2 linked regions of the Canis lupus familiaris genome follow. The protein of the gene in region 1 binds, or shares a complex with, the protein of each later gene. Links are inferred from orthologs where the notes say so. Each region holds a gene or a part of one and is shown on either strand. Other genes may lie near its edges.

What was found.
Region 2: the proteins of ACTL7A (region 1) and TES are in contact, whole or in part, in a crystal structure (PDB 2XQN), measured with the Homo sapiens proteins. The link is inferred for Canis lupus familiaris from reciprocal best matches to the Homo sapiens genes ACTL7A and TES. Residues at the interface, in NP_006678.1 of Homo sapiens: Leu28, Gln29, Thr30, Ala31, Ser32, Leu33, Arg34, Asp35, Gly36, Pro37, Ala38, Lys39, Arg40, Ala41, Val42, Trp43, Val44, Arg45, His46; in NP_056456.1 of Homo sapiens: Asn311, Glu312, Tyr313, Thr314, Gln315, Ala316, Glu317, Leu323, Phe326, Leu335, Ala336, Gly337, Glu338, Ile339, Tyr340, Val341, Tyr353, Pro370, Glu371, Val372, Gln373, Arg374, Val375, Thr376, Tyr377, Ala384, Phe389, Leu398, Ile399, Gly400.

The regions. Positions count from the first base shown.
Region 1 is NC_049232.1:64,397,660-64,401,597, forward strand, and holds ACTL7A (actin-like protein 7A), read left to right. Parts: upstream 1-1,421; 5' UTR 1,422-1,785; coding exon 1,786-3,216; 3' UTR 3,217-3,336; downstream 3,337-3,938. UniProt on the Homo sapiens protein: Essential for normal spermatogenesis and male fertility. Required for normal sperm head morphology, acroplaxome formation, acrosome attachment, and acrosome granule stability.
Region 2 is NC_049235.1:55,320,851-55,325,424, forward strand, and holds the start of TES (testin), read left to right. Parts: upstream 1-1,567; 5' UTR 1,568-1,569; coding exon 1,570-1,596; intron 1,597-2,410; exon of another isoform or gene 2,411-2,473; intron 2,474-4,574. UniProt on the Homo sapiens protein: Scaffold protein that may play a role in cell adhesion, cell spreading and in the reorganization of the actin cytoskeleton. Plays a role in the regulation of cell proliferation. May act as a tumor suppressor. Inhibits tumor cell growth.

The sequences.
Region 1 (3,938 bases):
ACTAGATTCTCTCTCTTCCTTCTTCTAGCTGCTAAAATTACAGGGGCCCAGTTCACCTTCCTTTTGAGAATCCAGGGTGGGCTGTGTCCCAAAGGCCGGAGCAAGGATACCAGCTCAAAGAGAAATGGGTTTCTTGGTCTAACCTTCACAGGTTTCTTTCTCCCCTATAGGAGGGCCTGGGAGTTGTTTTCAAGAAGAGTCACCTGATGGTTTTCTAGGCTCGGGCCAGAGGAGCAAACGTGGCCTGAGATACTGAGTAATAGTAGGTGCCTCTAACCTCGAAGGACTGCACCGGAGACCCCAGGGAGCCCACGAGCGCCTGGGATGGCTAGTGCCAAGCATGGGGGCTCGTGCATGCCAGGAGCGAAACATTCTGGGGGCAGTGTGCCAAGCGTCTCCATATTCTCCCATCATCGGTACCACACTGTGTCCTGACCCCGGAGAGAGAAGGGACACAAAGGGGGACGTAGAAGCTAAGGGGAAAGGCTTTGCTAAGAGAGAGCATCCGAGCGTGCAAGATCCTGACAGGTGAAGTAAAAGGAGTGGAGAGTCCGGTGACTGCAGCCTGCAGGACGTGCGGGGCCCCTGGGTCCCTGTGTCTTGGGCCTCAGAGACCAGGTGGAGCGAGCGCCTGGCGTTGAGCCAGCACAGCAGCTCTCCCACCCACACGGACACAAAGGGCCAAGGGGGCGAGCCGGGGCGGGCGTGGGGCGGGAGGGAGCATGTGAAACACGGCCTGGCAGGCCTTAGTGGGGAGCACAGGCCAAGTGACAGTGTGTGATGGCTCCCAAAAGGTATGCACACCTTTAATCCCTGGGATCTGTGTGAATGGTACCTTTCAGGGCAAAAGGGACCTCGCAGATAGGGGAGTTGGGGAGTCTGAGGCAGGGAGGTGACCCCGCGTTACCACCAGGGTCCTGGTAAGAGGGTGGGTCAGGAGGGTCAGGTCAAGGGAGAGATGGCAGGTCTTTGAAGATGAAGGGGCCCCAAGCCAAGGAACGTAGGTGAAGGTAGCAGGGTGACTGCGGATTCCCGACCTCCGGAGTGGTAGACGCTGTTTGAAGCCACTGAGTGTGGTAATTTGTTAGAGCAGCCACGGAGGATCCAGGGCAATGAGAATGCCGTCGGGCTGCCGCACATTTGTCCGAATTCAAGACGAAGGTTGAGAAGGAAAGACAGGGTCATCCTAAATTAAAAATGCCTTTGGTTTTCACATCAACATTCTTTTGAGGTGAAGTCGAACAATCCAAGGCGGCCGCGCGAACCCCTGCTGCACAGCAGAGGCAAGTACGTGAGCTCTTAGGCAGCCGGGCATCGAGCAAAGTGAACTCCTGTTCTCTCGAGATTCGATGCCATTTCATCCTCTTGGTTCACCCATCGAACCAAGAAGGTAACACTTTTATTTTTTTTCCTAATATTTTATTTATTTGGGGGAGTGAGAGGGGAGGAGAGGTAGAGGAAGCAGCAGCAGCGTGCTCCCCTCCCCAGGCCCCTTCCCTGCCTTTTCTCTCTTGCCCTTACCATCTTCTGCCCTGTGTGTTTCGGCCACTGCCTCTCCCCCCAGCTCCTGCTGACTAGAGTGTGAACTCTACGAGGGCACAGAGGTTTTCTTTTTTCTCCCAGCTGCCTTGCACGGAGCAAGTGCTCAATAAATAAGTGATTGGCTAGATCAGGCTTATTACACAATCTAGAAAAGGGTGAAGTCACCTCCAAAACACTACCTTAAATCCACCCCAACACGGGACACAGGTTCCCAGTATCTAGAAAGCCCCGGGTCACCAGATTATGTCACAATCAGTGATGTCATCATTGGGGAAATTCCCAAGTTGCTGTCTGATAATAAGCCTTTCAGGCCTTGACCCCAGTGGGATCGAGGAACTTTCTGAGAGCAAGATGGCTCTTGATAGCATGTGGGCTCCACAGGCAGGAATCATCGGGGATGGGCCTGCCAAGAGAGGCGGCGAACAGGCCCCCCTACAGGCCCACGTCCTCCAGACGGCCTCCCTAAAGGACGGCCCGGCAAAGCGGGCAGTGTGGGTCCGCTGCAACCGTTCGGAGCCAGAAGAACCTACTAAATCAACGACGGTCAGGGAGAAGCCCAGGTTAGAGGTGACCAAAGCAGTGGTCGTGGACCTTGGCACTGGCTACTGCAAATGTGGCTTCGCCGGGCTGCCAAAGCCCACCCACAACATCTCCTCGACGGTGGGCAAGCCCTACATGGAGACGGCCAAAACCGGGGACAATCGCAAGGAGACGTTTGTGGGGAAGGAGCTCATCAACCCAGAGGTTCGCCTCAAGCTAGTTAACCCTTTGCGGCATGGCATCATCGTGGACTGGGATACGGTGCAGGATATCTGGGAACATCTCTTCCACAAGGAGATGAAGATCTCCCCAGAGGAGCACGCGGTCTTGGTCTCAGACCCACCCCTGAGCCCGCACACCAACAGAGAGAAGTACGCCGAGATGCTGTTTGAAACCTTCAGCACCCCCGCCATGCACATCGCCTACCAATCCCGCCTGTCCATGTACTCCTACGGAAGGACGTCCGGCCTGGTGGTGGAGGTTGGCCACGGCGTGTCCTACGTGGTCCCCATCTACGAGGGTTATCCTCTGCCCAGCATCACCGGACGGCTGGACTACGCGGGCTCTGACCTGACAGCCTACTTGATGGGCCTGATGAATAACTTGGGGAAACACTTCACCGAGGACCAGCTAAGCATTGTGGAGGACATCAAGAAGAAATGCTGCTTTGTGGCCCTGGACCCCATCGAAGAGAAGAAAGTCCCAGCCACTGTGCACACGATCCAGTACACTCTGCCTGACGGGAAGGAGATAAGCCTGTGCCAGGAGAGGTTTCTCTGCTCGGAAATGTTCTTTAAGCCTTCTCTTATCAAGTCCATGCAGCTGGGCCTCCACACCCAGACAGTGTCCTGCCTTAACAAGTGTGACATTGCCCTCAAACGGGATCTCATGGGGAACATCCTGCTGTGCGGGGGCAGCACTATGCTCAGCGGTTTCCCTAACCGCCTGCAGAAGGAGCTGAGCAGCATGTGTCCCAATGACAACCCCCAGGTAAACGTGTTGCCCGAGAGAGACACTGCAGTGTGGACGGGCGGCTCCATCCTGGCGTCACTTCAGGGCTTCCAACCACTGTGGGTCCACCGCTTTGAGTATGAGGAACATGGGCCTTTCTTCCTCTACAGAAGGTGCTTCTGAACTCTGAAGAAGCATGGTTGCCGTGCGTCGGCTTTGCTGGGCGAGCACCCACCCTACACATACGGAGCTGAGCCCACGTCTGCTCCTGCAGTATTAAACGAGCCTTGTGTTCCCTCCATAGCGTGTGTCTCTGTGTCCTGACTTGGTAAGAGCAAGTTCGTATATGCAGCAGGTGCCTTAAAATATACAGCTGGCAAACAAAAGTCGGGGTATGTGTGAAACACAGACCTGTATTACGTGTTGCTTGTGTAAACATTCCTGGGAAAAACAAGCTTAGAACGACTGTCCCTTTTTTGTACTCCCCACTTCAGGAACGACTGCATTGTTAAATCTGCTCAGAAGGGGAGTGTGAAGAAGATAGGTTAGAGCGTCAGGGCTGCTGGGGCGTAGAGGCACATTCCTTTTGATAAACAGCAGGAAGCATGCTATTATGGTACAGTCTCCCACAAAGCAGCAGAGTACACTTCATGCTCCATGAAGGCTTGTGAAGAGCTGATGAAGATGTCTGATCCCTGCTTCCACTGTACTTTTAGTTCCAACAGTCACTTAGGTCTCAGTATCAGTTCTTATCAAGCCATCATGGTGACAAGCTGGTGAAACCTGGCATATGAGTAAGGTACACCTATCTGTCTAAAGGGGGCAACTCTTCAGCTGCTCGTCTCCCACGAGATTCCCCATCAGCCTATCGGATATACGGCTGGAATCTGGGATGGGCACAGGAT
Region 2 (4,574 bases), on another chromosome or scaffold:
TTCCTTTTTTAAAATAGATGCCAGATGAAGTCACCTCTTGTCTGTGCAGTATAGTTTTTTGTCACCACCACAAACTGAAAAAGAAGTGGACTCTTCTGTCTTTTCTCTTTTCCTTAGTCAACACACGGTGTCTAGGTCCCCAAAGAGGCTGGGGGCACTGCTTAGTCTCATGAGCGCTCGCTCTGCCCCCAGGAAGTCGGGCAGATGCCGACAGGACACTTCTGGGGTCCTCAGTTCCCAGTAAAACGAGGAAGCTGGACTCGGTAACCGGGGATCCCTTCCAGACCCACTCCTGTGATGTTCACGCGCTCCCCGTGGAGCGAAGCCCTGAGCCTCGCGCTGCCGCCTGCGCCCACGAGTCTCCAGCAGAGCCCAGATCCGGAGCCTCCCAGGCCGCTCACTGCGGGGAGGGGGGGGGGGGTCACAACCCTCCCTGGCGCCACTGCCACTCACCCCATCCCTGTTTCTGAACCACTGGGTGCTCAGGGAACACGTGGGGGGCTGTGGGGCGAGGGGCTGGGCCAGGCCGGGGGGACAGTGGCCTCGGGGCGCAGGTCCGTCACCGAGTCCCCAGCAGTCCCCACCGTCGCGTGTGTCCCCACCTCCACCGCCGGCCAAGCGGGCCTCGACTTCCCCCCGAGCCCCGGCAGGTCCCCCGGCCGGGCGGGCCTCGACTTCCCCCCGAGCCCCAGCAGGTGCAGAGCGAGCCTCGACTTCCCCCCGAGCCCCGGCAGGTGTCCCCGGCCGGGCGGGCCTCGACTTCCCCCCGAGCCCCAGCAGGTGCAGAGCGAGCCTCGACTTCTCCCGAGCCCCGGCAGGTCCCCCGGCCGGGCGGGCCTCGACTTCCCCCCTGAGCCCCAGCAGGTGCAGAGCGAGCCTCGACTTCCCCCAGAGCCCCGGCAGGTGCCCCCGGCCAGGCGGGCCTCGACTTCCCCCCCGAGCCCCAGCAGGTGCCGCGCGGGCCTCGACTTCCCCCCTGAGCCCCAGCAGGTGCAGAGGGAGACTCGACTTCCCCCGAGCCCCCGCGGGCAGGTCCCCCGGCCGCGCGGGCCTCGACTTCCCCCCGAGCCCCAGCAGGTGCCGCGCGGGCCTCGACTTCCCCCCGAGCCCCAGCAGGTGCCGCGCGGGCCTCGACTTCCCCCAGAGCCCCGGCAGGTGCCCCCGGCCAGGCGGGCCTCGACTTCCCCCCCGAGCCCCAGCAGGTGCCGCGCGGGCCTCGACTTCCCCCAGCCCCGGCAGGTCCCCCGGCCGCGCGGGCCTCGCCTCCCGGGGCGCGGCCCCGCCCTCCCTGGGGACCCGCGGAGGAGCGGCGGCGCCCGGTGATTGGCGGCCGCCCGCGCCGCCCGCTGCCATTGGCTGCCCGCGCCTCTTTGTTCCCGGGCCCCGCGGCGGAAGTTGGACGGCGGCGGCGGGCGGCGCGGGCGGCGGCGCTGGAGTCCTGGCTGGGTCCCCGCGGTCCTCCCCGCTGCTCCTCCCCGCTCCCGGGCCTCCCGGCCTCCCGGCCTCCCCGGTCCCCGCGGCGCAGCGGACGGCGGGCGAGCTCGGGCGCGAGGTCCCGGCCCCGCGGACATGGAGCTGGAGGCCAAAGTGAAGAAGGTAGGCGGGGGCGGGGGCGGGGGGGGGGCCGGGGGGGCACCTGCGCCGGGCGGGGCGGGGCGGGGGCGCGAGGCGGCGGGTCTCGGGCCGCGGCCCCGACGGTTGGGTGCGGGGAGGGCGGGTCGGGCACCGGGCGCGCCTCGCAGCCTCCGGGAGCCTCCCCCGCCCCCCGCGCCCCGAGGTCGGGCCCTCCCGCTGCGCTTCCCCGCTCCCGCAGCCCGACAAGTGACTGTGCGCTCCCTTTCCGTTCCCTTTTCTCCCTTGGTCCCCCGTGCACCGCCCCCCCCGTCGTGCCTCCTCGCTCCTGGAGTTGGGCCGCCGGCAGTCGCCTGCCACCGTGACCCCGGTCACCCCCCCTCCCATCCCGTCCCCGGCCTTCGGGACTCGCAGCCCTCCCTGAGCCCTCGCAGCCCTCCCTGAGCTCCCGCAGCCCTACCTGAGCCCCCATAGTCCTACCTGAGCCCCCGCAGCCCTCCCTGAGCTCCCGCAGCCCTACCTGAGCTCCCCATAGTCCTACCTGAGCCCCCGCAGCCCTCCCTGAGCCCTCGCAGCCCTCCCTGAGCTCCCGCAGCCCTACCTGAGCCCCCGCAGCCCTCCCTGAGCCCTCGCAGCCCTCCCTGAGCTCCCGCAGCCCTACCTGAGCCCCCATAGTCCTACCTGAGCCCCCATAGTCCTACCTGAGCCCCCGCAGCCCTCCCTGAGCTCCCCATAGTCCTACCTGAGCCCCCACAGCCCTCCCTGAGCCCCCGCAGCCCTACCTGAGCTCCCCATAGTCCTACCTGAGCCCCCGCAGCCCTCCCTGAGCTGCTCCTACCTGAGCTGCTCCCTGCCCCGGGGCAGCCGCACGTGGGCGCCCGACTGTGACCCCGCAGGAACGCTGATGTCACATTCCAGCGTGACCTTCCCTGGGAAAGGTCTCGTTCCAGGGAATCGTGCCTGCGTACCTTGCAGTGACTTTAAGCTCGCTGTCCCTTATCAAATAGGGAGAGGGAGTTTTGCAGAGAGAAAGGAGGGGGGAAAAATCGAACCTTAGTTTTCTTCCCTGACCCACGAGGGTTGCCAAAATTGCCATTATTTCATCTTCTAGAGACGAAGTTCCCGACTTAAGCATTAATTCTGTTTCATGCCCCAGAACTGCACTTTTGAAAATGTAGGCAAATGCAAAACTCTCAGGTTGGGAGTTGAAACATAAAAACTTGGCAGTAGAAAAACCGTTTATCACGTAAGGCCACACCTGCCACTTACAGGGAATCTAAGAAGAGGAAAGCATAATGTAAGAGTAGTGTGATTGCATTCTCCTCTCTTCCCTTTTGGTTTCCTGTCCTCTTAAATGACACAGTACTTTTTGTTGACCTTGCCTGGCACTAGGACAGCTTTTTGTTTGCTGCTTAGTTAGCCTTCCATTCGTGAACACTGCTCCTTTGCTCAAGTGGGTAAGAGCTACCTAATACCTAAAATTTGAGGAGTCTTCCCTGTGCCTATACATATTGATGCAAACACTACTTTTTAAGAGTCAGCTTCCTTTTGGAGAGGAAGGGACGGATGGGTGAAGCACAGAGGATTTTTTTTTAGGGCAGTGAAACTATTCTGTATGCCGACTACCATGGTACGTACCTGTCGGTACAGAACGGTAAAAATGCATAGAATGAACGACAGACACCAAGAATGAGCCCGAAAGTATTTGGGGGAATAAGGATGTGTCAGTGTAGGTTCATCAGTTGTTAACAAAGGTACCACTTTGGTGCGGGATATTGATACTGTGGGGAGATATGTGGGGGCCCCCTGGGGGGTGGGGGGGGCGGGGACTTATATGGGAACTCCATACCTTGTGCTCCAATGTTCCTATGAACAGAAAACCACTCTGGAAAAGGAAATGTACTTACAAGGGGGAAAAATCAGCATTTAAAAGTGATTTTGAAATTATTGGAGATAAAGAAGAAGTAATTCTGAGGGAGAAAGTCCAAAGTTAGGAATGAATGCCCTTACAAGGGAAAAATTCAGACATTATTCATAAACAATTTCCTTAGCTTTAAAATGTGGATTATGATTTTTAAAGATGCCCTTAATGTATGGTATAATTCTTTCATCTCCCCTTTAGTGTAAAAGGCTATCTTTTCCATCCAAGAATCTTATCCTTTTCTCTGATTCTCCTCCTCTCCTTCCTTTACCACAGAGAAAAAAAGACTCTGTACATTTAAAGATCTTACAATCCCATGAGAGTAACAAATTCTTGTTTCACTACCTTGTCATTCATCACTGCTGATTCTCAGGGCAGAGTCCTCAACCAGGAAATTGGAAACTACTAAAAAGACCCTCAGAATGTCCAATTTGACTGCCAGCCATAACCCTCTCTGTGCCTTTGTTAGGACCCTTGACAGACTTGAGGTTCTGTGGGTTTGACAAAAAAACCTCCCAGTACAAAAACTTTGGAGATTCCAGGAATACATTTTACAGTTTCGCCATAATCACAAAAAGAAACTTCATTCCTTTTGGAAATTGTTTTCTAACACACCAGAAGAAGGAAACATCACAAGGTGTTATCTCTGGTCTACGAGCAGAGCCTTCTCACCTTATTTTGGAAGCTAGTTTTCAAGTCTTCCTTTTTTCTGGTTTGGGTATACAAGTAAAGTAATACCTTTCAAAAAGCCAGGTTGGAAGTTGGAACAAAGACACAGCCATTTAAATAAAACTGTTTTGATGTCTGTTTTAAGTTATGTGGCAATTTTTTCTAAAGCCCTTAGACTCTTGATTTCATGAGGCGTTTTCCCCAGACAGATGAAAAATGTAACCTTTTTTCCCCATTAACATTCGGTGTAAAAAGAATTAAAGAGGACTGTTTAGGCAACTTAGGCAGATGATACTGTTATAGGATTCTTGGTTTACAAAAGGAGAACTTGGTGTCCACATCATTTGCACAGATTTGGAGTAATTACCAGTTAAAACCCACCATCACAAAGACAAGGGATTTTTATAGTTAG